Caenorhabditis elegans: one gene and its partners. The protein of the gene in region 4 interacts with the protein of the main gene of each other region in a pairwise test. Each region holds a gene or a part of one and is shown on either strand. Other genes may lie near its edges. The genes, in order: ceh-27, hpl-1, lsy-2 and lim-7.

Region 1 (8,464 bases), on a different chromosome or scaffold from region 4:
TATGTCATACATTTGAAAACCAATGAATTTGTCGTATTAGCCTTATTTCAAGATTGTTTCCAATTTTGTCTGCAAGATCAGAAACCTTTTTCGAAGCTATTTTATTATCTTCATAATTATATAATAATCCATCAAATGATTTTCTCCCTGGGAGTAATAAGAATGAAGCAAAAGTTTCACAAAATCCAACTAATCTGGCAGCAAATCAGTGCAATACCACAGAAGAAAAACGGTAAACAATTTCATAGAATCTCGAAAATTTTTCAACGCTAGAATATTAACAAAAAGGTTTCAAGTTATGCCAAAATAAAGTTTCCTAGGATTGAGCCATATCATATTTACTGAAGAGTGCACGTTTTTGATAGTTTTACGACACACAGATGTGCAAATTTGCACCTTACTAAAGTTAACCAGTGTGGTCTAATTAATGAATTAGAAATCCAATCCTCTCTACATTTCTTTGATCATAAAAGGAGCTCACTTACAATAAACACATATTGACCGACAGTGGTTAATGTGTTTCGGCGGGTGCTCATCCCCACTTCTGATTGAGTGCTCTCTCCTTTTTTGTTTTTTATCTTGTAACCTATATAATGAACGGAGGTCACTACGGCACACTTTGTCTATTAAACGCTATGCCTTTTACAAATGCCGCCGTGCACTTATCACACAAATGAAAATATAATGGAAGAGAATAACATAACCGTCTGGCAATATGTGATTCTCTTCCTGTTCTAATTGCCTGTGATTTTCTAAATGGTCCCCAGAAGTTCTTAGAGACAACCGACTACGTTCATGAGTAGAGTTTGTTAAATTTGGTTAAGTGTTGGTCATCGGGCGATAGCGAACACTCTTCATCCTGAAAAGAAAAAGAAAAGCACTTGACTGAGGTCCGTCACCATTTACAGAGGTGTGGAGGAATAGTGTGAAAATGTGAGAATGGGTTACGGTACGGCAGAGTCACGCACAAGTATGTCCACAAAGAGCAAATAGAGACTCCTGGTACCGACAGGGACACCAGTGCAATTTTTCAATGTGCTCATAACTTCCTTTAGGACATCCACAAACTTTGAATAGGTTTATAGAATTAGTCAAAGTTTTCACAAGATGAAATACGGTATTTTGGACATGATATTTGATTTTCACGAACTTGCTAGCAGTATCTATTACACTCGAAATTTTAAAATATTTTACCAATCTGTTTGCTAGAAACTATCGATCTTAAAAATGGAGCTGAAAATTTTATCTGTTACCAAAGATACGGTTGTCAAAATGAAAATGAAAAGTGGACAACTAATTTACTTCTAAAAAGAATGCTACCTGAATTCTGCTCTTTTCAACAATGCCCATATAAATTTTCTTTGACACCTTTTTGTTATGCATATTACGGTAACATGTGATGACCCTAATTGGTTGGTTCATCTTCCCGTCGGCATATCCTTTTACGTAATAACTCGCAAATCGTTTAATTATAGAGCCAAACTAGGGATAAAAAGTCACGGTGTTCTTCCTCTCTCTTTCTTTTCACACCTTTCTTCTGGGAGCTTTGTATGTGTGCAGGTGGTGACGCAACACGTGTCTGTCTGTCATCAAGCTGTAGATTATCCGGCTGTGCATACCAAAGGTGTCAGTTGAAGACATGAACTTGAAAAATGGGATTTCTGCTACAAAAACAGGATTAAAGCTGGATGGTGTATAATTTTACAAGAAAAATAAAAAAGCGATTTCATTTTGGAATATGTACAATATTGGAAAAAAGTATACATTTTAAAAGTCAGTTTTAAAAAAAGTTTGCCTTTTAAGAACTGCAAATTGGAAAAATTGGAAAAACATGGAATAAATTATGAAATAGAATGTTATCGATTATTTTTCCAATTGCAAATTAAATTATTTCAACTGTAATGCTAATTTTGCTTCAAAAGTAATTTACTAAAAATCGTTTCTATATGATCTCAAGCAGTTATCACGAGAAGTACACAGCTTGTGCAACAATGTGAACACCACCTAAAAACATCTGAAAACATGTTTTCTGAAAATCTTCCTAATTTTTGGTGGATGATTCATCGCGTCACTATTGCTGTCTGACATCTTCATTTCCTTCTTTTCCTTCTTCCTTTTTTTGGATGTCGACGTCTTGTTCAAGTACCTCCATTCAGTTTTCTACAAAACAATATACTACGCATTTTCTTTTCTATACAACATGCGTGCGCCTCTTCATGTTCATCACCATTCATCCCAATGAATAGGAAGAGAATGGCACGTCGTCTGTCATTATGATTACGGTAAAAGCGACATCTATTTCTGAAATCAATGAAACAAAGTTTTAAATTTAAAATTATTTTTATTGTGCAAGATTATATAATATCAAAAATATAGCAACAACGCATATAAATACATACCAGTTTAGTGTTGGGATTTTTCAATTTTTGGAATAAAAAAATGAGAAGCTCATTGAGGATTGGGGAAGGAAAGAGAACAGAAGAGTCACGAGATTTTTAGATTGAAATTGAGAAAATTAAAAAAAAAATTGAGCATAGTTGAATGTCAGCTAAAGGTTATGAAATGCTGATGTCGATAAATTGTATGTAGACGGAGGATAGTTTGCAGGAGGTGCTTGGTATGCGAAGAACGGAGGCATATATGAACTCGAAGGGTACATCTGGAAAAAAAACATAGTTGAACATTGTCATCTAACGATAGCCATATAAAAAACAACTGCACAGTTCATAAGCCTGTGATTCAAAAGTGGAAAATGACAGCTGCAGTCAGAAGTGGGTCCTTCAAAAATCATTTGTGCATCTGCATCTGTTTCCAGGTGATGAGACCACATCATAACGGAACAAATTGAATTAGAATAGAGAGATAGTCACAAGTGTGTGATCCGATTCCCTATGTTAATCCTATTGGATTACCGTCACAAAATCTTATTTGTAACACGATTTTGTGATTTGAAAGTCTCAACAAATCTAAAATACGAACCTGATATGGGAATGCTTGTTGTGAGATATCCGGAAGACAAGCTGTATCAGATGAAACTGCTGATGGCATGAATGGTTTCCGATCTTCATCTTCTTCCTTCTTGATTCCAGACATCGAACTTCCAAGTGATCCACTACTATCATTGTCTCTGTCTGAATCAGTGTCCCTGTCACTATCCCGATAGCATCCACCATCCATTTTCTTCTCTTTTTCTTGTCTCTTGCACTTGTAGCGTTGATTTTGGAACCAGATTTTCACCTGAATACGGCAAATGTGAGAAACTAACAAGAAACATCGCAAATGATTAGCTTAAATTAAAAGTTCAAACCTGTGTTGCCGACAAGTTAATACTCTTCGCAAGGTTTTCCCGATCCGCGGCGCTCAAATATCTGTTGATTTGGAATTTGCGTTCCAGGACGTGAACTTGTTGAGGTGAGAAGAGAACACGTCGCTTTCTTCGTGATATCATCATATTCTGCTGTGTCGTAAGTCCCAAATTCAGCTGATTGGTTTGGAAGCGATTAACTGCAATAAATAGTGATTGTTTTATGCCTACTAAATACAATAGGATCATGGCAATAAGATCCGCGATAATTTGCCCTTCAACGGAAGTCTCAGGAAATCGACAATTTCCGTAGTCCCTTATAAAAACAATAAGAAAAATACACATGCGTGCACGTGTCAATGTATGCTAACACTTGTCTTAACTACGATACAAAAATGGCACCACAGCAAACTCTTCTACAAATATGGTCCGTTTACCAGACAATTGAGTATTCGAGAGAGACTCCCCGTGGCGTACTAAACAAATTGCTGAGAATTGGCAGACAAGCTGCCAGCAACTGAATCTAGGTTGTCCTGTACATTTAAAGATAAAAATTCAGATCAAATTGGAAGTTTTGAAAAAGTTTTCAGCAGTGAACTTGGTTTAAAGCTAAAAACTGATACGGTATCAACTACTGTATTTTTTTTGTCAGAATTGTACTTAATTGCTCCGCTTTGACAACTTAAATCTCGTTTTTAAAGCTATAAAAAATAACTAAGTACGAAACTATATATGAAAAATGACATTTACTGTAAGTTGATAATTTTGTGATAAAACAAAAAACCACCCAGATATGAGATGTCAAAGCTGTTCAATAGAATGACAATGTAAATTATTTTAAGTAGAGATATAATAGAAAATAAATTTTTGGCATTCTAAAATACTTATCAGAAAATATGATATCTGATTTGGACCCTTACTGCAATTTTTCAATTCGGAGTTCACATTTTTTGCAGATTTCCTTTTTATGATTTCCGCCATTGACCTTCCAACAATTAAAAGTTCCACCAACTAGTTTTGTCACATGTTCACGTCTACAGTACCACGACCTTCATGCCTTTAAGTTTTGGAAGCAATTCTCTCACGGTTTCAAGTAGGTGTTGTAGATTACTGATGTTACGTCACTTCCGACGCAACTTCATTGAACCCCTACTATCACCTCTCAATATGGTGTTAGTTGTTTGTTGTCCAACAAAGGAAAATAAGGGACAGACGTAGTTAGTTGAGTTGGCAAACTTGTTCATTTCCAATGTTGTGGCAACCAAGGGGAGGTACTGTAGGACGAGTTTCGTTGGAAAGACAAACATTTAGCACCACCGGCAGAAAGGGATTATATGTTTTGCAGGAAGAAGCGAAAAAAGATCTAAGAGAAAGGAAAAAGCTAGTGTGGGAACCTTTTTTACTCATAGACCAGACCTACTGTAGCTCGGGTATATGTCAATTATATCGCGCACGCTTGTTTTATATATGTATGTGTTATATAATAATCTAAATAATAAACCAAAGAATCTAGACATAAAATAATTGTTGCGAAAAATGCGAAGCGCGCAACTCAATTGAATTGACCGGACTGTAATTATTTGCGAACGGGAAAGTGAGAAAAGTCGAGAAGATGAATTTGAAGAAAAAAACTCACAATTGGCCAGTTGAGGATGCGTTGCCATTGGGTAAGGAGCGGTGGCGTAGGCCGCACTTGTGTTGTAGCTGAAGAAATATTCAGGTTTGCTAAAATTATTCGTGAATTAACTAATTAATTGGATTTTTTTGAACTTTTTTGTATTCAGGAGCGGTGGCGTAGGCCGCACTTGTGTTGTAGCTGAAGAAATATTCAGGTTTGCTAAAATTATTCGTGAATTAACTAATTAATTGGATTTTTTTGAACTTTTTTGTATTCTAAATCGAAATAAATTATATTTGCTAGAAACCATTGATGTTGAATAATTCCACATCTGGGGGACATATAATCCATCATCATACATCCAGAATTTACCTCAAATTAAAAGCATACCTTGAGAAATCATGTGGATATTGATTAGGGAAGGCAAAATAAGACATTTGTGCTGCAGTTGTAGCCGGTGCTGAGATGGAGAGAGTTGAGAAAGCATCAGTAGTTGGTGTGACAGAATTAGGGGCTGATGTGGAGGAATTGGATGATCCAGAAGACATTCTACAAATTAATTGTAGTTAAAGGCGAGAAACTGGGATTCTAAAGTTAATGTCATATTAGAATACAAAGAAAATAAAAGGAATGAATAGAAGACTCACCATGACTTTTCAAGTTAGAGTTTGAGGTAATATGGTATAGGTTTCTAGATTCTATCATTATTTTTTGGAAACAGAGAATTGAAACTGCTGCTCCAGTGCCTCGATTGGGGCGCTAAATGTGAAGGATGGGGTGTGAAGGGGAGGATGGAAGTGGCGTCCGTCCCGAAAACTACTCAAAACTCACTTAAGTTAAAAACTTGAAAAGTCATGGAGAGGACGGCCAAAGTGGCCCTTCAAGTAAACCGAGAGAATCTCTTAGAGCTCATTTACCTCTTATATGAGTGCTTGTGGAGGATCGTTCACCGTGTGCGTGTCTCCCGTGCGCCTTCAGTCCAGCCTCTCGCCCTGCTTGTCCCACCCGATAGACACGCCCACCAACCTCATTGGATGCCATGGGCGGAGACTGGGGCAAACAGAATCGAGGTATCGGAGGGGAAGAGGTATGGAAACCGAAAAAAAAGAGAAGAAATACTTGAAACCTAATTGCCCATTTTAATCAAGTGCTACCAGCTGAAAATTATAAATGAAATTGAGAATGCGTAGGAGAAGCCTAATTTCTTTACTTGAAAATCTCGAGTTCTAGACTCCCAAATAAACTCAGCTAGCAAGAAAAAAACTTCAAGTCATGTGATTTCTCCACAAGTACCTAAGTTGGCAAATTATTCAGTTATCCTAATTCTGACTAGTGTTGGAGAGTGTTGTTCTTTTTGGTAAATTATGTTGCCAACAGAATAACAGACTAAAAAAAGACCAAAGGGGCAGCGAAATAACTTGAATAGAAACCGTAAGGACAAACAGCTCAATCCTTCGCAAAATTCAATTTCTTTTCAGATAAAACTGCACCATAAGGTGAGACCATCGGCGTCGTCATTTAATTGTATGTTTGTGATAATATCTTAAATTTAAGGTTGTATATGTCTATGTCTCATTGAAAATTGTATGAGTTTTTTCTACTTCATTATTTTTTTTGGAGATATTGAGATATACTAACGTCGTATTGAATGTTGTATGCCATATTGAAACCTAATTCTGAAAAAAATCAATAAAAAAATTTTATAATAGACTGATAATTTCTCAATGGCGAGGAACTGTGTCATATTGCTGTAAATACACTGAAGATGCAGTTTACATTTTAAGTTTCCAAATAATGTTTATTGAGGGAATGGAAAAATGAACGCCTAAAACATTGAGATTTGCAAAAAGTTTCTTAACACGGGCATATATATTTTTACTGGACTTCAGTCATTCCGAAGTGTGGAATTTGAAAATTTTCCTCCCGTTTCTACTGTTTTGATATACCTAGTTTTTTTTATAAAAAGAGAAAAAACCTTTGTTCACGTAACAGCTTTTTTAAAATGTACTTTGATACTTTGCCTTATCAACTGTTTAGTTGTAAAATTAATATATTTTCAGTAAGATTCTTTCAATCGGTAAATAGTTGTTTTCTTTTTACTACCTTGCACTTTGCCTTCCTACATCCAGTTTGAACTTTTACACTTGGGAGAGAGTTCAAAACTCTCAATCATTAGTGGACAATCCAAATGTTAATGAGTTTAACGACCTTCTTTTTTTACCATGAGAAAAAAAAAGTTTGCTAAGTCAACGAAGTTGATCACACTGATAACAGTGAGCCAACAATCAATAGAGCGTGAGAGTATTAGTGTTACTTTCTCATTTTTCACCGAACCAACTTTCCATTAAAAACTCTCGTTTAATCAGATGTAGTTCTCTATTAAAATTAACTTAAAATAGTTCAAGTTTAAACTAGTGAGAGAGATTCGTTTTGATTCAAAGTTTTTATTTTCCAAATTCAATTACAGGCTACAAACAAATTTTCTTGATGTTCATAAAAATGAGTGTTAATATATTTTCACTTTTGTTTTGCTTTGTAATTACAATGAGTTGCAAAAGGCTTTAACGCAAAGTGGGAAAATCTAGATGATATAATTGAGAAATGATTTTGAATCAAGCGAAATCTGACATCAGAATATAAAAAACTTAGTGTACTGAAATAAATTAAATAGAAAAAGTACCCTGCTAAATCCACTTCAAGATGATTGAAAACAAGAGACTCGAGAATTTATGAACACTATGTGCCACATCAGGAAAACCAAAAAAAAAGTGTTGAGTTTTCCATAACGTTTCCACGGTTTTCGTCGCCCGTTCATATTTCACAAATCCTTTTCTCTCCAGTTGTCACTTTTCTGCCATTTCCCTTTCCTTCTACCTCCTTTTCCCGACAAAACACTAATTCCATTATTGAGAGAATAAAGAAGATGGCATGCACCTGTCCCGAGCAACAGGAAGGAAGAAAGACATCTGTATTCTTTTCGGGTTCGAATACCGATATTGTGAGAAAATATGTAATATACAATTCATTTCACGGAAGTGAGAAAACATTGAGTAAACAGAGATTGCGGCGAGTTTTTTGTCGTTTCCTTTTTCGGGGGTTTGCACATTTTCACACTTTCTGGAACTAAGTGTTTTGTCATTTAAATCGTTGAAGCATCTTTTCAATTCTTGAGAATACCTGGTTTCACTAGTTCAGTTGAAGTATCTCATAATCCGGTTTTCATTGACAGTTCAGTTTAGTTCAAGGTTCATATCGAACAATGATAAAACATAAGAGAAACTGGAATGAAATGAGGCCATCATCCAGTGACTTATCCTTTTGGCTATCATATCACAAGAATCATTATCACATTTCACGAATTAAGCATGCGTATTATTATTTCTGCGTTCTCAATTTTGGCAATTTCAAGCGTCATTGGTAACTTTAAACGTTTTTATTTAATGCTGCCCTGATCACCAAGCGAAAATGTTAAAAATAAATCCTCGCGGTTCTAGAACAACTAAATATCATAGTTTTGCCTAAAAGTTGACTGAAATGTTTTC
Region 2 (6,653 bases), on a different chromosome or scaffold from region 4:
GTTTAGCAAGCTGCATCGTGAGTGTTGAAACTTGAAAATTGGATTAGGGGGAAGTAACTAAAAATTTGTAATTGTGAAAAATGAGATTAGAAACGTTGAGCTCTTGAACTTTTAGATTTTTCAGCTTGACGTTTGATTTCTGAGTCTAGCTTATATGTCAAATTTTTCTATTTGGTTCAAGAAATTAATCCCAGAAGTAAATGTATATAAATCAGGGAATGGTTTTATTGCATGAAAATTGTTTGAAAAAAACTCCGTGTTCATTGATTCTTGTCCTTGAACTGACTTTGTACAAAAGATTATCTACGTCGATAAATAGATACTTGTTCTCTAGCATCTTCCTGTCAAATGGCAGTATTATCGAATGTCGATCTTTTGGGTTCTTACATACAATACGGAATTCGCACGGTGAGTGTCTCAAGTTAACGGTGAATTTAAATAAGTCACATATTACAGCAAGAGCATAGTATGCTGTTAGGTTTGAATAGAGAAAATTGCTCTTCGAAGTGGAATTGGTGGTCTAGATTGGAGAATAAAACAATCACAGCTGGAGTCGGGAATCAGTCAGAGCCATGTGACATTGTGCAAGGGGCTTTTGTGGTGAGTTATGATAAATTTATTTCTAATTAAAATGCAACTTAGCAAAAGAAATACAAAATTAGATTGGGTGATTCGGATTTCTTAGTTTTTGCTTGCAAAAATAATGTAACACAACATTGATAATTGGAAAAATACAATAAATATTAATAAAAAATTTAAAAAAATTACTTTAATGGCAGCGAAGAGTGAAAACCAAAGTGAGACTTGAAGTAAGAAATGATGACGAAACATCATTATTTCAGGGGTTTAACTTGGTTCGAATAACTCCTTCGAATTTCACACCGACCGGCATTTTATGTCAATGCAGTGGGTTTTAAAACGCAACATTTCTGATAAGAAGTAGCAAAGACTACAGTTCAATATGTTTCAGGTGACCAGGTCTCTTTCTTGCCAGTGGTTAAAAGTATTGATACAGCAACACGGCTCACGTTTTTCGCAGTGATGTTGATAACTATTTGTAGGAACCAAATTTTATGACATTCGTGGTACGAAATAAAGTTTTTCTTTAAATGTTTGTCAAATGAAATCGAGTAAAATCAATCACGTCAATTGAAAATACAATTTAAATATTCATCATACGAATAATTAAGGATGAGCTTTCATAAAAACCTTCATAAAACAAAAATGAACTGTTCTGACAAAAACAGGTTTGCAAAATTTAGGCTTCATAAAATCAGTTTTTTAAAAATGTGAAAAATCTGATAAGTCAATTCAAACAAAATTTTTTTTTCAAACGGACAAAGAACTGTGTTTATATTTTTAATGTGCTCTAATAATTATATGATCAAACGGTTCTAATAAACAATTTAAACTTTTCAGGAAATGTTGCGCTTTCAGACAACTAGCCAATTTACAAGACAACGTCAGATTATCAGAAAGGTTTGTTTTAGAAGCAAAATTATGAGTTGTTAAAAACTGAACAAAATTCTTAAAGAAATACTTTCGTTGTAAAACACGTTGTAGCGTGGTCATTATTGACTATTTCGGTATTAATGTATCAACCTGTCACATTTTTGCATCCCAGCACGTGATGAGAAGATAGAAACTACATCTTTCTTTTCTGATACGGTAACATAAAATCAGAAGAATGTGCGTTTTCGTTTATCTGGTAAAGGATTGTTTCTAAAGCAAATATTTAAATAATTTATTAAAGGAAAAAACAAAATGATGTGAAAAAATTTAATATAAAAAGTTCAAAAATTTGTTAAGAAAAATGGGAAGCGAACAAAGAGTAAGTCCTTCATCAACGAAATCTCAGCGAGAAAATTCACGAAACGTACTGAGAGAACAATCAAATTATGGGAAGGGGAGAGGGTGCGATATAATTTTTGAAATTAAATTAGCTCATTCCTCCTGGGATGGTTGGCGAAACTCCTTGAAGAACAAGACGGGTTTCGTAGAATTTGATGACTTGACTTGGAAAACTGAAAATCACACTTTATTGAAAACTAATATTTTTGATGACTTTGCAGTAGCGATATTTTAAAAAGTTTTGAATATTGCAAGAAATCCCTTGCGACTTGTGAATAGCGCCAACTTAGGTTCTTTGGGGCGAGTTACTTTGCCGTGACAAATGTTTTATCTTGACTCAACTTATTACAGTATCACACTACGTTCAAGGCAAGTTTTTCTAATGCCTTTTAAGTGTACGAGAAGCACTTTCTTAGATGTTAACTACATCATGAAATTCGAGGTTTCATATTTTCCATTTATAAAAATAACCTATTATTTTTGGCTGTTCTGCTAGCACGTATTGAAGGCCGAATTTGCTCGTTCCGCAGAGCTTCATGAATTTTAGGATGCATTTATATACTTTAACAGTACGTTAAAGAGTCGATTGTGAGCATTTTTAGATTTTTTGATTTGCTTTAAACTTATAGTATTGCCCTGTTTATTTTCTGTCAAATACCAGAAAAAAACAAAAATTTAATAAACATGAAAAATCCAGGCTTGCAGGAATATTAAGCTTTCGACTTTCACCATATTTTTCAATTTTGTAACATTCTAAATCTTTTTCAGACTCTTTCAAATCCGAATTATTTTTTGTCGCTAATTTTAGAGGGAAAAACTAAAATTTTTATAAACGATAATATTTACCGAACATTGGCTTCTCTCAATGGAATCAAATGCACAGAGTCGTCGCTGAACTTGCACAAGAAATGCAGTTCTCCGGGTGCCTTGGTGATTCCAATAATTGTCTTCAGTGTTTTCCCAGCCCATTCATCGCTGGTAGATGGTTGGAGCTCTGCAGAAGACGAAGTCGACGGTTGTGGGGAATATCGACGTTTGCGTGTTGTGCGCTGCAATTTTGTTACTATGTATTTTCATCTCAATAAATTTGAAAAATCTCACCTTTGCCGCTTCCTTCTCGTATTCCTGAATCATCCTATCGCACTGGAGGTTCTCAATTGGCTCCCAACTGCACTCGGACTCTGGGAATCCCTGAAGCACAAATTATTGTTCAAATAACATTTTAAGGACGAAAATGTACGAACCTGCCATTTTATATAGTACTCGCTTCCGCCACGCGTCAACCGTTTATTCAACACTTTTTCCACCACGAAGACGTTGCTGGAGGACTAGAAATATATTTTTCACATTAATATTGCCGATCCTTCAATTTTTTCTCGATTTTAAATTTAAAAAAAACTCACTTCCTGAAACAACGGAGCATCTTGTGCCTGCTGAGCTTCCCGAGCTCTGAGTGAATTCCCGCGAGTGCTTCGGACAGGGTTTTGACGTGACATTTTGGCGAAAAACCACCTGAAACCAAAAATCGATAGTGGAAAAAAAACAAGAGGAGACGAGAGTGAGAGAGTGTGCCGCACTGCAGACTAAACGCGTACAGCGCACGGAAAAAAGCGGGAGACATAGGCCCGGGTTTTCAACAAGTCTTTCGATTTGAAAATGGAAGAGTGACCGTGAAAAGGTGCAAACCTATGTCGGCGGCCACTGTCGACAAAAACAAATTTTTTTATTTCATCTTGCTTAGCCTCTCTTGTATTTAAAGAGATGCCGGAAGTCGAATTTGCACTCTTTCACGGTCACTGTTCCATTTTCTAAAATAATTTGTATTTGAAACTCAAAGTTGATTTTCTTCTATATTTTTCTATTATTTCAAAAAAAACCAGACCATCTGAAGTTTTCACAGTCACTTTTTTTAATTGTGCGCAGATTCTTAATGAAACAGGCTAAAAAGTAACATTTGAATTGACTTTCGTGCAATTTTCCTGGAAATCATACAACAATCAATACAACAACGATCATAAACTGCGAACATTTGTAGATAAAATGTTTCATTAAGAAACATATGGATACAAACTTTGAGAAGAGAGGGGTTTGAGAAGAAAAAAATCATCTAAAAAAACGTGAGAATCTGGAAGCTCATCTGCGATTGCCCTTGTTTCGAAAATTACAAACCTTTAGCCCATGTTCCAAAATACATAAATAAGTTACTGACATATTTAACCACTTGAAAACGTGAAAATCTGATAGCTCACACTTAATGAGCCGTATCCCCAAAGTTGAAGACTTATAGCTTGATTTACAAGCTAAATTAATTCGTGGCCTATTTATTACCGTGAAAGTGTGAAAATGTGAAAAGTCAAATTCAATTACCCTTAACTTCAAAGATAGACCCATACGGCTCAAGATGCAAAATAATTTGGGTCGTGACCTATATAATTGAATGAAAACGTGAAAATCTGAAAGCTCGTACTCAATTACCCATAGCTTCAAAGTTAAATCCATATAGCTTAATTCTCAAAATAATTTGGGTCATGACCTATATAATCAAGTGAAAATCTGAAAATCTGAAAGCTCATACTCAATTACCCATAGCTTCAAAGTTAAATCCATATAGCTTAATTCTCAAAATAATTTGGGTCATGACCTATATAATCAAGTGAAAATCTGAAAATCTGAAAGCTCATACTTGATTACCCATAGCTTCAAAGTTAAATCCATATAGCTTAATTCTCAAAATAATTTGGGTCGTGACCTATATAATAAAGTAAGAATGTGAAAATCGGAAAGCTCATATTCGATTACCCATAGCTCCAAAGTTACAGCCGTGTAGCTCAATTTTCAAAATAATTTGGGTCGTGACCTATAAAATCAAGTAAAAATCTGAAAATCTGAAAGCTCATACTTGATTACCCATGGCTCCAAAGTTACAGCCGTGTAGCTCACCTTTCAAAATAATTTGGGTCGTGACCTATATTGTCAAGTGAAAATGTGAAAATCTGAAAGCTCATACTTGATTACCCATAGTTCCAAAGTTACAGCCGTGTAGCTCACCTTTCAAAATAATTTGGGTCGTGACCTATATTGTCAAGTGAAAATGTGAAAATCTGAAAGCTCATACATGATTACCCATAGTTCCAAAGTTACAGCCGTGTAGCTCAATTTTCAAAATAATTTGGGTCGTGACCTATATAATAAAGTAAGAATGTGAAAATCTGAAAGCTCATACTTGATTACCCATAGCTTCAAAGTTAAATCCATATAGCTTAATTCTCAAAATAATTTGGGTCGTGACCTATATAATAAAGTAAGAATGTGAAAATCGGAAAGCTCATATTCGATTACCCATAGCTCCAAAGTTACAGCCGTGTAGCTCAATTTTCAAAATAATTTGGGTCGTGACCTATAGAATCAAGTAAAAATCTGAAAATCTGAAAGCTCATACTTGATTACCCATGGCTCCAAAGTTACAGCCGTGTAGCTCAATTTTCTAAATAATTTGGGTCGTGACCTATATAATTGAATGAAAACGTGAAAATCTGAAAGCTCATACTCGATCACCCACAGCTCCAAAGTTACAGCCGTGTAGCTCACCTTTCAAAATAATTTGGGTCGTGACCTATATTGTCAAGTGAAAATGTGAAAATCTGAAAGCTCATACTTGATTACCCATAGCTCCAAAGTTACAGCCGTGTAGCTCACCTTTCAAAATAATTTGGGTCGTGACCTATATTGTCAAGTGAAAATGTGAAAATCTGAAAGCTCATACTTGATTACCCATAGTTCCAAAGTTACAGCCGTGTAGCTCAATTTTCAAAATAATTTGGGTCATGACCTATATAATCAAGTGAAAATGTGAAAATCTGAAAGCTCATACTTGATTACCCATAGTTCCAAAGTTACAGCCGTGTAGCTCACCTTTCAAAATAATTTGGGTCGTGACCTATAAAATCAAGTAAAAATCTGAAAATCGGAAAGCTCATATTCGATTACCCATAGCTCCAAAGTTACAGCCGTGTAGCTCACCTTTCAAAATAATTTGGGTCGTGACCTATATTGTCAAGTGAAAATCTGAAAATCTGAAAGCTCATACTTGATTACCCATAGTTCCAAAGTTCCAGCCGTGTAGCTCAATTTTCAAAATAATTTGGGTCGTGACCTATATTGTCAAGTGAAAATGTGAAAATCTGAAAGCTCATACTTGATTACCCATAGCTCCAAAGTTACAGCCGTGTAGCTCAATTTTCAAAATAACTTGGGTCGTGACCTATATAATCAAGTGAAAATCTGAAAATCTGAAAGCTCATATTCGATTACCCACAGATCCAAAGTTACACCAATGTAGCTCAATCCTATAAAAAATTATATAATTGACCTAGATCCGAGTTTCAGACATCAATTTTCAGGAAATATAGACAAAGTTTTGTCTGCCTTCAAGCTTGCAGACCGGACGGACCATTTTGAAAAAAATCTGAAAAAAGCATGGAAAAAACAAATTAAATTAATTTTTTATAAAACTCGAAATATTCACACAACGTGAGGTCAGCGTGAAGTCAATCTGTCGCCGAAATTCAGTTTTCGAATCATTTTAGCTTTTCCGAAGTCAAATCATCAGTTTCTTCTGTTTACATCTGTCGTCGCTTTATTGATAATGGTGAGTTTTGTTGCTTTTTCTTATGTAAATTCCCTTATAATCCATGAAAAATTGGCATTTTTGTTTAGCAAAATTTTAGTAAATTGACTGAATAACCAAAATATGAAATAATTTCAGGCGTGCCCCTATGTTGATGACGTCTTGCGAAACTACA
Region 3 (8,856 bases), on a different chromosome or scaffold from region 4:
AAATCTGGCACGGTTCTTTGTTGGATATGTGGTATCTCCCTTTGGAGCTCCTCCAGCTGGAGCACCTTCTCCTTCAGTTGCGGAATCAGCTGGCCCTTCGCCAGAAGCATCGCTAACTGGGGCGCCCGCTCCTTCAGCAGAGACATCGGAAATCGGCGATGGAGCTGGAATATCGGCAGAGAGCTTAGCTGGATCGGATTCCTGAAAGTACTTTTATTTTATTGAAATCCAAGAATTGCAGTAAAACTCACAACTGGGGATCCTTCAAATTCAGTTCCTGGGGCTGCAGCGTATCCGCCACCTCCTCCTCCAGCGATGTCTCCTTTTCTTGATGGGCATGGGCAATAGGCAGCATCTTCTCCAGAAGCTCCGGCGGATCCTGGAAGACCTGGGAATCCATCTGGTCCCTTCTCTCCTTGTGGTCCTTGTGGTCCAGTCTCTCCCTGTGCTCCAGCTGAACCATCCTCTCCACGCTCTCCTGGAAGACCCTCGTCTCCTGCAAGACCATCCATTCCAGTCGGTCCTTTTGGTCCTGGTGCTCCTTTAGCAAATCCTTTTCCGTCAGCTCCACTGGTTCCTTTCTCTCCTGCTGGTCCCATTGGTCCTGGATGCCCATGGTCTCCTTCTGGTCCATCATCTCCTGGTGCACCATCGCGGCCTGCGTTTCCTGGAGCTCCTTTATCTCCCTTCTCACCACGTGGTCCACGTTTTCCTTTGTATCCAGCAACACCTGGTGGTCCTGCTGGGCAAGCAGTGCAAAGATCTCCAGCTTGGCTTGCAGTCTGCTCATTGCTTCCATCAGCTCCATCTTTTCCTGGAGTTCCATCGGTTCCGTCGGTTCCTGGCTCTCCGGCTGATCCTGATTCACCCTTTGGTCCTGCTGGGCAAGAGTCGTCAATTTTCACAGGGCTGGCTTCGGGTGCTGTAGCGGCAGGAGATCCCTCACCAGCAGCTCCTCCTTCCTTGTCTAAATTTTCATTTGTCAAATATTTTCAGATAACGTTAACATCTGCACTTACATGTTTGTCTTGCAACTCTGCGGTGGCTTTCATTCGTAACAAGCTCCTTCCAGAGCACATTCGAAGTCTCTTCAAAACCAGTTTTTGCAGTTTCCAGTTGAGCAGTCATGTCTCCCATAGTATAGAAAAGGACAGGAGTAGCAGTTACCATAATCAAGAAAGCACTTCCAGAAAGAATGACTGCAAATGAGACAGTCGACGAAGACGACTCCATAGTTTTGTAACTCATTGCTCGAAACAAACAATGGAGAAAAACTTGGTTGATGAATGTTGTACCCCACTACCGTCTTATATACAACATGTGTTATCTAAAACTCTGATCGGTATGTTCCGGAAGTTGTCCTACTCCTTCCCAATCTTCACTTCAAACCACTTTCATTTGTATTATCTGATCCTTGCTACCGCTTCAACAAGTTTTTGCATTTGCATATTCTGGATACCAGGCTATTCATTCCATTTTGTTTCAAACGTATCAAAATTTTATTATTCACTCCATAAATTGAATTATGACACTTCATATTAATCGAACACCTATACAATCGGCTCAAAAGAGAAGAATATATAAAAATAGACGAAATCAGGCAACGGGAAAAAAAGGTAAAACAAACAAAGACTACTACAACGACTATACAAACTCCTCAATAGGTTATACATTAGGTTATAATAATAAAAAACAACGGATTACAAATGGAAATAAGGAGCAAGATATCGCTGGTGTAGATCAATGCCAACAATGATAAACGGCATGCTTACAATTTTGGAAAAAAAAATGATTGAAAGAGCAAGTCTGTCTGTCAATGGGTAGGAAATCTTCAAAAAATACTAATCCCCGAGGTAAGAAAAGAACCAAAAAAACAAGAAGAAAAAAGTACCCCGTTTTGAAAAAGGTGAATAAGAGAAGTTGAAAGAAATGTCATCGAAGGCGTCAAAAATGGGTAAGTGCGCAAGCTGAATTACTCTATCTAAGCAACAATAATAATAATCAATTTCAAATCAACTGTGGTTCCATCATCTGCTGGCCAAAGTTTGCGCCAAACAGCATTTGAAACTCGTCATTCGTTGGTACCAAAATTTCCGGATCTGCTGGCTGAGGCTGAAAAAAAAGTGAGCTTTAGTTATTTGTTCAAATATTAACTTTTGTAAACGTACAACAATTTCTCCAGTTTCAATCAAACTGCTAACTCGCGTGTGGTAGCTCATGTGCTGATTGTAGCTGGCCTCGTCAGCAAATGGTCTATAGCATTTCTGAAAAAATATATATTGTATCGTAAATCCAACAATAATAACAAATTTTCAATCATCCCACAGACAGAAAACCACTCAAATTACAACGTTATAGAACTCACTTCGCAGAAAAATTCAAGACCCTCCCGATGATTTTCGTGTTCGAGTGTGTGATGGCTGACACAATCCATTCTGGTCATGAATTGAGACTTGCACACTGGACAATCATGGCTGAAATTAGGTAGGTTTAATGAAAATTTTAATTTAAACTGTGTAATGTGTTCTCTTCTATTATAATAGTTCTATTAGTTCTATTAGTAATGCACTGCTCGATTTTGGGAGCTTACAACTCAGTTGGTTCAAAAAAATTCAATAAGTATACAAACCCAGGCATATATTAGGAAATGAATCGCACCATGGGTGTGCGGCAAATTCGGCAAATTTGCCATGGTTGTCATACTCAGTAAATCGCAATATTTTTCGAGCTCAAAGAGGGCCAAAATTGATTTAAAAAATAAACTACGTTTACTGGTTTTTGTTCGAATTTTGCCTAATGCGCGTGTGGATTTCTTCAATAAAAAATAAAAGAAACACGATGTTATGTTTACTTTCATTAGGTTTCTGTTCAAAACCATTAGTTTTGTACAAAATTTTTATAAAAATTGTTTCATGTGTGCGGCAAATTTCAGTATTTGCCGGGCTCGGCAGATTCGGCAAGTCTACATTTTTGAAATTTACGGAATTCGATGAATTCGGCAAATTCGGCAAATTTGCCGCACACCGAGCGCTTTTCAGATATTATACTTATACTCACTTTCAGTCCTACATTCACTTTTTGATGCTTTCTATGCTTTCAACAATCTTCCAGCCATTTTAAAACAAATTATAAAGTACGCTCTCTTTTAAGATAATAATTCAATCAAAATTTGACGAAATTTCGTAGCGAAACTGTTGCAAAAAATTTGAATTGATGTCAAATCTTTCTCAAACGCACGGAGAGCAGGTATGTATATAATATGTACCGTAATTCTGAGAATTCATGTGCTCAAACGGCATTTTCCACTCCGATTTCTTTTCAGTTCAAGGATAAATAAACTCACGTCTCGAATGCAATGGACTTTGCAATCTCGAAAAGGTTGCCCCAACGCTCAAGAGACATGTTGTTGAAGATAGTGTCTTCGAGACGTCTGATCTTGTCCTCAAGCTCAACTTGTGGCAGAAGATCTCCTCTTCTCAACTTGTCCACCCAGTGCTCTGGTTCTCCGAGTCCAAGCTTCCTGAAAAAAAACATTCGGTAATCTCACATTTTAATTGTGCATGCTGGATGTCTGCTTACTTCTTCTTCGGACGAGGCGGCGGCGTGTAGTACGGTCCTCCGGCTCCACGAAGTACGATGGCGTCGTCAGGGATGTCAGCAGGCGGCCGACGGTTGCTGAACCGAGATTTTGCCAATACTGGCGTTCCGTTTTTGTTAAGATCAAACCTGGCAAACGGCCTCCAGGCAGCTTCCAGCTCTTCCTTCGTCGTGACGTGTGTGCGAAGATGCTTCTTGAGGTTGCCTTTCAGTCTGAAAAAATTTAAAAAATTTGTTTGTTATTTCTCGTATCGCCTAAATAATTTTTGTTGATTATATTTTTGTGTTTTCTACCCGCAACATTTAGATTACTGTCACGAGTGCCGTTTTGAAATGAGTACGGCATGCATCTTATCTACGCCTTTTTCACCATTCTAACACTATTTCTCTTCGTTTTATCGATTGTTCTACAGTGTCGCCTATGGCATTACGGTGTCTCTCGTCCGTCTCTTTTTCTCTACCGTTTCTCGGCCCGTACACTGTACACACCGTACTGCGCATTAGCAGAGGAGAGTCGACTGTGAGAGAATGAGAATTAAGGGGAAACGGTCGTTTTCGCAACCCGCCACATTTTTATTACTGTACATTTGAAAGAGCACAGCGAATGTTGTTTAAAAAAACCACTAACCGACAAGTTTTTCCACAATATGGACAGGCGTGAGGAGTGAAGCCGGTATGGACTGAACGATGCTCAAACAAGTTCGACTTAAACCTAAATGATTTTGAACAAATATCACATCGGAAAGGCTTCTGATCTGTGTGTATCACTGCATGCTGCTGGAGACCTGAAAACAAAATCAGAGTTAGACAAAGCTACCGTATTTTTCAAAAAATTACCTTTATAGGAAACAAATATTTTGTTGCAAACATTACACTGGTGCACAGCTCGAGGGGTCATCATTCCTTCCACCATCTCATCTTCTTCAGGAAACCCCATTTGATACTGAAATTGATTATGATGCCCCTGAAATGGTTTCAGAATTTTTTTGAGTACCTGAGAATAATCCTGCTCATCCATCATCATTTCGGAGTCATCCATGTGTTGATTGTGGTGATAAACTGACTGATTCGACCCGTGAGTCATACTGGAACTGTTGAATTCAGAGAGGGACTGATCCGCAGAATTCCGTTGACTCTGAAAGTAGAGAACGTCTAAAAAAGTAGGGAATTTATAAAAGATTCGATAAATTGAAATTTGAAAGGAGTTTATAAAAGGAAAGGTTAAAGTACAGAAGCGAAATAAAAATGAAAACATGGGTTTCAAGAGATTTCAAAAAATTTTAGAAATTTTTTTTGAAATGATATCTAGTTACCTGCTTAGCATTTCTTCTGGTTAGCATGACAAAATTTGCCTCAGACAGCTTAAAAACAGCTCGAGACTGCTAGATATTGCGAAAGAAGCGTCGAATTCAAACTATTCACCTTGCCGCCAAGTGCAGAAAGGGTTATGGTATGAGAACGATACGGTAAGAAATGCGACCACTCGGAGGGGACGCGACGCGGCCGCAGCGCAACGAGAAAACGAGACGCAGGCGCGCAACAAACAACAAGGATAGTGAGCGAGAGGACAGAGGTCACCACCGTCGCTTGCTGTTCGTGGTTTTTACATCGTTTCTGATAACTCAGCAAGTGTAGAATTTAGAAAATAATGAGTTTTTTGTGTATTGCGAGTGTTTAGAAAATTAGATATAAAAAATTAAACTGTATTTTTATATTATTTCGTAATAATCGTCATTTTTTACAATTTTTTTTTCAAAATTATAAAGTGCAAATTAAAACATTTTCATTGCAATTTTTCGGAATTTTTAAAATTGTCTTTTTTTTCTAAATAAAATACAATTTTATGAAAAAAATTATTTTAGTTTTAGTCATGGTTTGGTCGAAAACACAAAACAGGTGCAAAAATAAGCAGATGCGTTTTCATAATCTCAGGTGGCCGAGAATTGAGAAATTGGTTGCTAATTTTTGGGCTATGGCAAGTCTTAAAAATAATTTGCATCAGAAATGTTTTATTGAAAGTAAAATTAAGATTTAATTATAAATAGAAGTTAGTGCTTGGAATAGTAAAAGTCAATCAAATTATACATGATCAATAATATTTTTCCTAACATAAAAGACATGTATAATATTGTCACAGCTGCTTTTGGAACTGAACAAAACCCAGCAAAAGACTTCAACGATTTTGGCAAATTGAAAAAAGTTAAATGAAAAAATAAAACCTTGAAATTTGAAATTGGAAATTTGAATGAAAATCGATCAGGACTCAGAAAATCGCATCTATTCGCTATGAACACTATTCGATATTCGTGCAACGCCGTAAGCCCCAGACGAAGAGCAGATGTGCATCTTGCCTGCTGCTCGCACGCATCCACGCTGGCTCACCGTGTAACTCCAAGTATATTGGGAGTTGTTGTTGTTGTTGTTGTTGTGGAGGCAGACGTGGTTGTTGTGGTGTCCATTTGGAATCGGAGCAGCAAACGGCGTGTGTTGTTCATGGAAATTGGACTGGTGCTGCGGATGGTGTAAATTCATCATTCTGAATTATAAAATTAAATGTTTTCGGGTTAATGAAATTGAAAAATAAATAAAATAAGTGTATATTAATTTCGAAAAAAAAGTGTGAAAACGGTTAATAGTAGTTTAATACAAAATTAAAAAGTTAGAGATCTCTTGAATTTTAAAGCTTTAGATTAAATTTAATAAGATTTATATATTTATTGATAATTTATTGACTACAAAGCAAGTTTGTTAACAAACACAACAAAACAAATAAAGATTGACATTTTGTGAAACCTATCAGCATTTATACTATTTATAAAAATACCAATAAGTAGTGTTATATAAATTAATTTACCAAAAATAACAAATTTTTTCCAAATGTTTTTTTAAACCTGAGGAGAAATTTGTGTCTTGTTCAGTTTATGTTCATAAGTTTCACAATTCTAATTGAAAAATCTTGAGAAGGGGAGTTTTGGTGAACTAAAATAAAACAAAACGTTTTTTTTTCAAAAATAATATATTAAGCCAGAAACTCGAAAAATTAGTCTTTACAATTAGTATCAAAATTTTAAGGATACCTAAAGTTTATAGTAAGATTCCTTCAAAGTGAAGTGTTCTAACAAGAGTGTGAAAACTTGTTCGACGTCTCAGAAAAGAAGTACAATCGCCAAGTTGTTCTGGGAAATTAGATTAAGAGAAACGAGCACAAGTTGAGAAACTCCCTCTACTCAGATACTCGGCGAAGAAAAAAAAACGTGAAAGATACTTTTACCATGAAGGGTGCCATCTTGACGAACATCTGCTGAACAGCCAGCTAGTTTCCGTTCTGAGCCCTCTAACATTTGTAGGGCAATACTTTTATTTGAAAAAAAGCAGCTCACACTTGCTTCATTCGACAGATTTTTGAAGTTTTGAGAACTTAACCGCTTCGTTATATTGGATCGAGACAAATGGGGAAAACGAAAAGGATTAAGACATCCTGGCTCTAGCTTCCTAAAAGTGCATGTTATTTTCAGTTACCTGGTGCGTGTGGAACGATGAGACTAAATCTCTCAACCTAGGGAAGTCGGTTCGATAAACATAGTTAGGGATGAGTAACGGTTTGGACGCCTTTTAACGTATAAATTGAATATGTGCTTAAATGATCGAATTTTGTAATTAAATTTTTTTTTAATCTACAAAATTTTATATGACGGTTCAAAATTTCGAAAAAAATTATCCAACTTTTTTTTTACTTTTCCGTGCCGCAGTGATTCAAAGTAGATTTGTTTTAATTATTGTCATTTTTTTTGCAAATTTTGGTAATTTACCTTATGTTGTTTTGTTGATTAAGGTATTTTTGGAAATTTTGAACCGCCATAAAAAACTTTTGAAACAATTTTGAGTCGTTTCATTAAAAAATTCGTTTATTTAAGCACATTTTGGGTCTATATGTTCAAAATCGTCCAAACCGGTACTTCTCCATTAAATTTTTATAGCCTTTAATATCAATTTTTTAAAGCAATGTTCAGAAAAAAACTGTTACTAATCTATGCACACTTTTTTACAATTTTCATATTAAAATATTTCAAATATATTATTCAGATTTCCAAGGCTTACATAATTTTTTTTATTCATTTTAGTTTGCTTTGAAAGCCAGAATACATTTCATTGTTTGAAATATTATTTCCAAGGTATAAATTTCCTCAGAAAAATTATAGTTTCTAAATTTTCACAGTTCTGCAGTTTTTCATAATACATATTTATTTTTTTAGCAAAGAATTATAAATACAAGTACTTAAATTACGCAAAAAAATTATTTTGGAAAATATAAGCAATAAAGAAGAAAACAAGTCTTTTACAAGTTACATTATGAAAACTATACATGTCGTAATATAAAGTCATGCGATTTTTCAGAAATTACCAGTAAATTATTCAACAACCAGATTGCTAGAAACTAAGAAAAAAGAACCCCCTGAAGAAGTCGGATTCAACTTTTTAGGCGGCTCTAGAAACTCATCCATAAAATGAGTGTCACTAATGGATATGGGAGTAATGTTTGATGATTTCTTTGGAGGTGGCTCTTTCTTTTCCACTTTATGTACTTTGTCATCTGGCGGTGTCTCTGGTTTCAAATCAGAAGTTGAGTGTGCATCCTCTTCACTGAAACTTTTAGTCTTGATTTTGAGTTTAAATTATTACAGTAAGATACTTAGAAATCAGGCTTTGAGTGTCCGAAGGAGTATGTATTGCTGGTGTTTCAAGTCTATTATTCTCTCTTTCATCTGCAAAAAATACATTGGGTTCTTTTTCTTTTATGACCTTTCACCCACCAATTTTCTCCAGATTTCGGTTTCGCTTCCTTAATTGGTTTTCAAATTCTCCAGGCCAAACGACTTTCGGTTTTTTTGTTGGCTCGGCGTCTACCACATCTAAAATTGAAATATATAAGTTGTAGGGCAAGAGGGTTTGTACTTTGTGACTGGAAAAATTGAACTACATTTTTTTTAAAATCAGCATTCAGTTTCATTAGGTTTATCTTACATAGATAAAGAGCAATTTTAAGCTTCAAATGATTTTTTTCGTGTTTTCTGGCTAAAACCATTGGTTCTCTTTGATTTTTCCATAATATTTGATTAGAAACATTTTTTGTCAATTTTTAAACATTTTTCCGTGAAAGTAAATTGCGGAAAGTTCAAAATTTATCTAAAATCGGCAAGTTAGTCTGAAAACATGTCAAAAATGACGTCGCTGACTTTTACGGGACTACAAATTCACTGT
Region 4 (7,802 bases):
TAATAAGAAGAATACAAATATATCTCACCTGAAACTCTTCTCCAGTTTGTAATCGTTTTTCACAGGCAACACACGCAAAGCAGTTGAGATGGAACACATTTTGGGGTCCAGCCCTCATCACGAGATCAGTTTTGTCAAAATCTCCATGGCATCGAGAGCAACGTGTTGTAAATAACCTGAAATAAATATATGAAAAGAGCACTGTATGTTTGTATATATGTCACAATTTCCGTTTCTCCCCTTTTCGGTTGTTTTCACGTTTTCACACCTTCAGACGCCAGATGGCGGCGAGCTTTAGAAGAGGAAGGAAGATGCTCCAGGCGGTGCCGTTTTTATAGTGATTACGTGAACGCTTCCGGTTGATTTCGGCGGCAAATTAGCGTGGTCACCCTGTTATTAGTGCAAAGCTAGCAATTTTACCGGATCCTATTAGCTTTTGGCTGTAGATATGCTTGCTATCAAGTCAAGTATGTTTCGCTATTTTTGAAATTTATTTTAAAAAATACTTTTAAAAAATCACTGTCTATTTTTGAAATTTCAAACGTTAAAAAATATTGACAAATTCGCTGTAGGCCTGTCTTACCAACTTGGTAAGAAAATCTGTGCAAATATGACAGTAACTCGGAGAATGAAACACTTGACACTCACTTCAAAATTTGGTTACATATTCTTGCACACTACCTAATCCCATGCGTAATTCACATCTATAGTCAAATACAGTAATCATAATCCCCATATAAAAATGTTGGATAGTTTTCACGCTTCATTCTCCCAAGTTATCCGGGGGTCTCTATTATGCAAATGCATCCATTAAAAGAGCGCAACATTTTCCAAACTTATTATTATTATTATTTATAATAGTAAGTGAGTCAACACCCCATTCCCTGTCTTCCCAAAGTCATTGTACTCGGGGAAGTAAGCGAAAGAGAGACAGGTGTATGCTCCGTTTTCCGGCGGAAGTAAGGTAATTGTCTATTTCACTTTGACTCTTCATGATCGTTTATGGAAGTAACTACACAAAAAGATGCACATCTGCCATCATTTGACCTACCTTCTGTAATCATCCCGGCAATACGTTTGTCCATTTTTCACGAATGCTGTCTGGTTTTCGTCGAGTGGGCGAGAGCATTGGACACACTGAAATTTTAAATTTTAATTAAACGGGTTTGTATTAAAATCCTGCCTGAAAATTTTATTCATAAAACATTATATTTTGTTATATTACAGTTGCAAAAATATTTTAAGGGTATTTTTAGTACGGTCTCGCATCCTTCGTTTTTCAACAAGATAATTATTTTTAGAGAAAACATTTTTGGAAAAATCGAAGAAATGTTCAAAATTAGGGGGAATCCGCTACAGTTTTTTTTAGTTTTCAAAGGATCACATCTTTTTGCGAAGCCTTCATTTGACAAGTTTTTGTTCGTGGTGAGAGTTGACAATGTCAAAATTCCACAACTGGGTTACTATGCGGTAAACAGGTAAATAGTTAACTGAATAGCGTGATCTATTCTACTACTGTTTAGGTATTCATCGCCTATTCCAACACGACAGATGGTTGCCACCTTGACTGGTCACGCAAGGGTCCCTCTGTCCCAGTGAGTTGTATACACCAATCTTCACACTCAAAAAATCAACAAAATGCGCGAATTTGCGCAGTAATTTGATCCGTCTCTTCCGTGCTTCTCCCCCTTTTTATGCTTCCTGGTCAACACGTTTTGATTTTTTTCTTTTCTTTTTTTCCGTCTTTGTCTCATTTCATTTCATCATCATTGCCCTTTCTCCTCCCCCTTCCCTTTTTTGTATAATATTCACTTTTTGTCCTTTGCTTAAAAGTCGTGGGGCAAGAGCAAAAAGTACAATGACCCGGAATAAAGGTATCAAATTGGTGAATAATTCAAAAGGAGCAGAAAAGAGAAAAGGGGAAAAGGTTGGAATTCTGAATAATATGCAAAATGGAAATCCTACATACATATAGAAACATACATCAAAATGTTGAATAAAAGAACAAACAATGTGTCAAGTCATGCGTGTAAATTCTCTCTTTACTGGACTTTTGTAGCTTTAAGGTATTAAGACAGTTGGAGGGGCTCATTGTGCAATACATTTTTGAATGAGATCATTTGGAATGAATTAGGTTTTCTTGTGAAAATCCACCCCCGTGTAATTTTCGAAATTGTTGTTTAGAAAAAAAACCATGAGACTACACTGCACTCAATTAGTATCTCGGTTGTTGTTTGTTCTATCGAAAAGGTTGTGTATTTTTATTATTTTTGATATATTCAAAACAAACTGAGATAAAATCCTTCAAAGTGAGACGAGATACTTATAAACCATTTTTCAGTTATAAAAATGTTCAAAAACTCACTTTTAGACATTGAGCGTGAAATTCCAGATTGGGATTGACCCTGAGGAAGTACCGATCTGATATTTCTGAAAATAAATAATTTTTTGGAATTTAGTCCCCGAAAGAGCTTACCCAATCGACAGCCGGCACAAACTGCCATCGGTGGTTGGTGCTGACGTTCTGAAAAATGAAAGCTCGATTAACTTTACTCTAACCCAAATTACCCGTCGACTTTGATTTGAAGATTACAGGGTTTGTGAGAGGAGGGGAGCTCAAGCTTTATTTAGGGAAAAGTAATAGAAAGAGGGGAGGGCCACGCGCACAAATGGATAATGATACCCAGTTAGGTGTCATGAAGGGGTTCATGGCTTCAAGAAAAAAGTGAAGAAAGGCAGGGAGAGCCTAACAAAACTCATAAAATAGCTCATTTGTGGGGTGTTTGGGGATGTTAGTAGCTGCCAAAACGTTTTTTATTTTATTTTTGCCCTCTTCTGTCAGCACTGTTTTGCCACGTCATTAATTTTATTGAGCTCCGTTTTTATTCGGAAGAATTTAAAGTCGACAGCTTCCTACTGTTTAAAAAATAACATATTAAAATGTTCTAATTTTAAAACTATAACAACTAAAGGTAGTCATTTCAAACTATTGATAATCCCCTTGTTCAACATTTGACATCTTATTTTAGGAAGTAAACTGGCCGTTGACAAACAAGAAGTAACAATCCCAAAAAAAGAAGGAAAGTTTACTTAATATAAGCAATTATAAACACCCCACCACTACAGTAATCATAATCGGAGCGGCGGCAAATAACTACTTATTTGGGAGGAGAGTGTTGCGATTTGAAATTAGAATTGAAAATTGACCTAGAGAAAAACTTTTTTTGAAGAAAATTAGGTTTTAAAAACTTTCGGAATACAAAACTGTGAAAAGTTAATTTTTATTAATATCATATATTTATTTGAAAACTTTCTAGGTTAAGTTTTCGAGGCCAAGAAAATCGAGAAAATCTGGTTGGGTTGTTGAAATCTTCAAACCGGATATGTACATGTGATGTGCATAAGGCGATTATAGCTTAGATCTTCATCGAAGGACCAGATGAAGTTATGCGTTTTTAAGACAACAAGAAGAAGGTGGAAAAGAAAAAAGTAAAAGAGGAGGGGGACAAATGGAATGAAAGAAATAGCGATTTTTGTTTTCTTTTAAACTTTCAGAACTTGATTGAACTAAGAGCTTTTTGATGGAGCCTCCCATTTGTTCCCCACCCCCATCATATCGTTTAATCAACAAAATATATTTTTGTGTGAGACCCCCCGATTCTTTTGTTTGCCAAACTGGTGAATAAGCAAGGTGTCATGGAAAAATGTGTAGCTCAAATGGGTTTTTTCTACCAAGAAATTTAGTAATGTTATATGACTTCAAAATTTTTTGGAAGTGAGCCCATTAAGTTCAGACACCTTTCGGAACTTTGCTCATTTATTCATTGGCTCATCCCTATAAGTAGTATGGGAAAAGAATCGGAAGAGCACCAGAGCTTCAGATAAAAAAGTTGCAAAATTCAGGGGAAAATAGACGGATATTTAAGGCTTAGAAGTGCGAATAATCTTTTTTTCCAGATTTTCTCCCTCTCCTTCTTTCGATTTTGTTATTGCAGGGATTTTGACATTTTAAGATTTATTTTTCAAGATTAAGTGGAGTTTGAGAGAAGGTGTTGTATTCTTAGATCTGTTAGATGTCTTTTCAAATGGAAATTTTATGAATCTAACTTAACTTTTGTTTTGAATTTTTTAAGCTGTGATTTTCAGAAAATTTACAAAAAAATTTTTTCCGGATGTAAATTCTTTGAAATATTTTGGCCCACGCTTAACATTTTCAAATTAAAAAAAAAACACTCACGTTCAACAGGAGAATCAAGGCACAAGTACTTGGTATCCGGTTCGTCTTTCCAAAATGATCCACCAATTTCGAGATCCGATGTTCCTGGAGATGTCAGTGAGAATTGCTCATAACCATTTCGCATACAGATGTTCATGCCGTTGAACAGATATAGAAGTTTGTGATTGATTACTAGATACACACAAACACAGATAGGACAGTTGGAAGTGTCACAAACGAAAAGAGAACCGAGAGCCCTGGGACCCACGGAGAGACAAGAAAGTGGGCGGAGTCATTGAGCGGGCGGACGACGAGCGACTGGTTGGTAGACTCCACCTACTAAGTGAGGAGAACGAAAGAAGTGAGAAGAAAACCAGCCGGATGTGAACACCCAAGTGATAGAATAAGAGTGTGAACATCCTGATTTTGTGGATATGGTAACCTATATTTCTTTTATTTGTAATTAATTGGATTAAAGCAGTTTTGTGTGAACTATTTGGATCATGAAAAAGTTTAAAAAATGACATTTCAAATGCCAAAAAAATTTTTGAGACAGTTAAATGTTACTGGCAAAATATATTCTATGAAATTACTCATCAAGATTGAAGTAATGAGCAAAAAATTATATTTAAACATTTAGAAAATTTCGAAATTTTTGAACAAAATTGTCTGCTCCTGAAAAAATTAAGAATTAAGGAAAGTAATGTGAGAAATTTGACCTCACTTTAGTTTCACAATTAAAGTTTCAAAATTAAATTACAAATCGCTTAGGACGTTTAAATTTCATAACCCTAGATTTTAGAGTTCAAAATCCATCCTATATTTTAGTCAAATTTTCTCGTACATTTTCAAATGTTTTTCTAGTTTCCTTTAGCTTCCATACTAATATCTCCGCGTACTACAGTTTAAGACAATAAACTCACAAAGTGTAGAACATCTTCAGAGTCTATAAATTATTCATGTAACTTTTCCAAAAAATGGCTGCAATACTGAAAAAATGTGGTATGTTTGCTTCGATCTTTAACACAATCATTTTTCTGATATTTAAATCAGAAACTGACTGGTTCTCTCAGAGGTTTAAAGTATTATGTTCATTGATGAATATTTTAAAAAATTGAGAAAAAAAATTGAAATCAGAAAACATGAGAATTCAACAAGATTATCCCTGGAAATATCTTCTTATCCGGATTCAACCTGACCCTCATTCTTCCTTTGGCTGGTGGACGCCATATTTTCCTTATTGAAAACTATCTAGAAACTAGAAATATGTTTTATTTTATTTTATTTTTGAGTCTCTCTTAGAGTTCATATCGATTGAAATATAGACTTGAAGTCCCAATTAGTCTTGCGTCCCTAATAGTATTGCACTTCTTCGTTAGTATTGCAAACTCTTCATTCTTTTAGTCAAAAAAATTGTACGAAAAGTGAATTTGCAGTTTCTATAGAGTTGCACTCTTAAATTAGCCGACACGTGGACATATGTATGTTTTAACTGATTCCCCCACTTCCTGTATACCTCAAAAGGTGTGAAATAACGAATGAAAAGATGAACATGCATGCGAGAGAAGGTGATAACGGACAAGTATTCGAGGATACTGTAGATTCCATCGATTGATAAGGATTTGAAAGATAAGATGATTAAATGGATGCTGGATTAATCCAGAATATTGGAAAATTTTTAGAACCGGGGAGAAATGTGAAAAATTTACAGCCATTTTTCAACTATTGTGGTGTAAGAGAAAACAAACTTTACAAGTTATATTTCATAGTTTATCGTATTCCATTTAAAAAAATATTTTTCCAAAACACGAAGAAATAGAAAGACCGAAATACAAAATTTTGTAATTTAAATTTTTTAATCTCGAAAATTTCTACATTTTGTACGAAAGTAAGTTTTGCAGTTTTTTGAACACTTCGAGAAAAGCTAGAAATCAATTTTCGCTAAAAAAAAAAGAGAAAACCGATAACTATGACTTACAAAAAAGATATATGCATATTGAAGAAAAAAACGTTATTCTCCAAAAGTCAATGATTTCCTGTTCAGATCACGCACAGTCTCACCTAAATATTGATTCTACGCGTGGTCATCTTCTCTCTCACTATTTTACAACTCAAAAGGTCCCGACAGGAAGTGAGCACATCGGGTAGGAATTAGAAGACACGTGGCAGACTCGAGAAGGTTTTCGAGTTTTCTCGATGGATAGGGAGTTGATCTTAATTAAAGGTTTAGTAGCGCCTGTGACGATTTTGTCAAAATGCATTTAAAATGGTAAAAAAAACTTAATGTCTACATCTAAAAGGTTTCATATTTTTCACAATTTTCAGTCAAAGTTTTGGCAAGTTATAAAAAATTCGAAAAACTCGGAGGTTTTCGGAAGCATTGCTGCAGGTTTGAAAGCCTTCAATATTCAAATACAAACAGATAAATGAAATCAAGAAATAAAACTCGTGAAGAAACTTTTTTGATCGACTTCCAAAACTATGAAAACTGAATAATTGCCACTTTTTGATTGAAATTAAAGAATTTAAAACAATTTTCGAAAAAAATTTCTATGATATTTCGTCATTTTAGCTATATAAGTTTCTCAATTTCGTTCCCATGATTGTTCTAAATCTGAACATATCAATGACATTTTGATGTTAGCCTCCTGTTAACACTTCAAACATCTACACAATATTCTCAGTGGGATACATCCAAGTATTTTGGAATTCTAGACACCTGACAGATGGGGAAACAATATGATATATTTCAGTGTCGAGGTGTGAGTGTGCATTCATACAAACTGTAAGGAACGTGTTTAAGTTCAACTAAATAATATTATGGAAAATGTATTAAAGAAAACAAAACGTTTTTAGTGTGATTTGAATTGAAAATTAGAGATTTTTTAAACTGTTTTCTGCGCCAAAATTTGAAAATAATGAAGTCATGCAACTTTTATTTTTGAAAACTGGTGAGCGCTTGAAATAAACAGAAAAACTTATGTAATCGTTCAACAGTTATATTCAATAATTTCAGTTGGGTAAAAACGGTCGAAGGAAATTCTTAAAGGAAAAAAGTAGCTTGAATTGTAGTATGATGAGCTCATAAAATGTGAAAAGAAATCAGGGGGTGGCCACGAAGTACAACTGATTTCTTAATCCTTGACGGAGAGGGATCAGCCAACCTCATTATCTGTTTCTCACTTTTTGATTTTTAATCTTTTTTCCGGGTAATCTTCACGTTTGACAATGAAATCTATTCATTCAATTTCATGTGAATAGCATACAAACTAATAAGTTGTGAAAACAAAATGCCAAGAAGGTGGATTTTCTTGAGTTGTGATCATGTTTTGAAGGTTTGAAATATGGTTGATACAAATAACAAATCACAACTATGAGGAGGGTTTACAGGCCTTTTAGAAAAAATTAGATTCAAAAATTATACAATTTACAATTTTTCCAACAAAATGCACATTAACTTACTGAAAACAAAAGAAATATTCCATGCAATACGGCAATTCACAATGTTCATCGAACCAAATCAAATGCTTACCTGGTAATGAAAATAAATGAGTTGCATTGCTCATTAAAAGCATTTCGAAAGAAG

What was found.
Region 1: the proteins of lim-7 (region 4) and ceh-27 interact in a two-hybrid assay, tested with the Caenorhabditis elegans proteins (one large-scale study listed by BioGRID).
Region 2: the proteins of lim-7 (region 4) and hpl-1 interact in a two-hybrid assay, tested with the Caenorhabditis elegans proteins (one large-scale study listed by BioGRID).
Region 3: the proteins of lim-7 (region 4) and lsy-2 interact in a two-hybrid assay, tested with the Caenorhabditis elegans proteins (one large-scale study listed by BioGRID).

What each region holds. Positions count from the first base shown.
Region 1 is NC_003283.11:11,659,228-11,667,691, forward strand, and holds ceh-27 (Homeobox domain-containing protein), read right to left. Parts: upstream 5,876-8,464; 5' UTR 5,840-5,875; exon of another isoform or gene 5,707-5,839; intron 5,472-5,706; 5' UTR 5,471-5,471; coding exon 5,313-5,470; intron 5,009-5,312; coding exon 4,941-5,008; intron 3,505-4,940; coding exon 3,308-3,504; intron 3,238-3,307; coding exon 2,980-3,237; intron 2,660-2,979; coding exon 2,549-2,659; 3' UTR 2,322-2,548; downstream 1-2,321. Other genes in the region: F46F3.3 (Attacin_C domain-containing protein), read left to right, coding at 8,288-8,339.
Region 2 is NC_003284.9:13,242,122-13,248,774, reverse strand, and holds hpl-1 (Chromobox protein homolog hpl-1), read right to left. Parts: upstream 3,386-6,653; 5' UTR 3,348-3,385; coding exon 3,255-3,347; intron 3,180-3,254; coding exon 3,096-3,179; intron 3,043-3,095; coding exon 2,953-3,042; intron 2,901-2,952; coding exon 2,698-2,900; intron 2,025-2,697; coding exon 1,940-2,024; 3' UTR 1,731-1,939; downstream 1-1,730. Other genes in the region: K08H2.7 (uncharacterized protein), read left to right, coding at 349-408, 457-600, 843-906, 971-1,077; K08H2.5 (Protein kinase domain-containing protein), read left to right, coding at 6,497-6,499, 6,617-6,653. UniProt on the Caenorhabditis elegans protein: Seems to be involved in transcriptional silencing in heterochromatin-like complexes. Involved in epigenetic repression. Probably does not act as global transcriptional repressor. Plays a role in linking epigenetic regulation with the innate immune response.
Region 3 is NC_003284.9:2,085,881-2,094,736, reverse strand, and holds lsy-2 (Zinc finger protein lsy-2), read right to left. Parts: upstream 5,034-8,856; 5' UTR 4,938-5,033; coding exon 4,911-4,937; intron 4,733-4,910; coding exon 4,592-4,732; intron 4,541-4,591; coding exon 4,435-4,540; intron 4,383-4,434; coding exon 4,226-4,382; intron 3,811-4,225; coding exon 3,727-3,810; intron 3,676-3,726; coding exon 3,580-3,675; intron 3,521-3,579; coding exon 3,344-3,520; intron 2,475-3,343; coding exon 2,366-2,474; intron 2,265-2,365; coding exon 2,169-2,264; intron 2,113-2,168; coding exon 2,008-2,112; 3' UTR 1,484-2,007; downstream 1-1,483. Other genes in the region: col-164 (Nematode cuticle collagen N-terminal domain-containing protein), read right to left, coding at 1-201, 252-967, 1,020-1,248; F49H12.2 (uncharacterized protein), read right to left, coding at 8,007-8,238, 8,288-8,360, 8,409-8,507. UniProt on the Caenorhabditis elegans protein: Involved in transcriptional regulation. Required to specify left-right asymmetry of the ASE gustatory neurons, probably acting upstream of microRNA lsy-6.
Region 4 is NC_003279.8:5,713,247-5,721,048, reverse strand, and holds the start of lim-7 (LIM/homeobox protein lim-7), read right to left. Parts: upstream 4,476-7,802; 5' UTR 4,374-4,475; coding exon 4,238-4,373; intron 2,525-4,237; coding exon 2,477-2,524; intron 2,431-2,476; coding exon 2,366-2,430; intron 1,677-2,365; exon of another isoform or gene 1,527-1,676; intron 1,138-1,526; coding exon 1,052-1,137; intron 177-1,051; coding exon 29-176; intron 1-28. UniProt on the Caenorhabditis elegans protein: Probable DNA-binding transcriptional activator.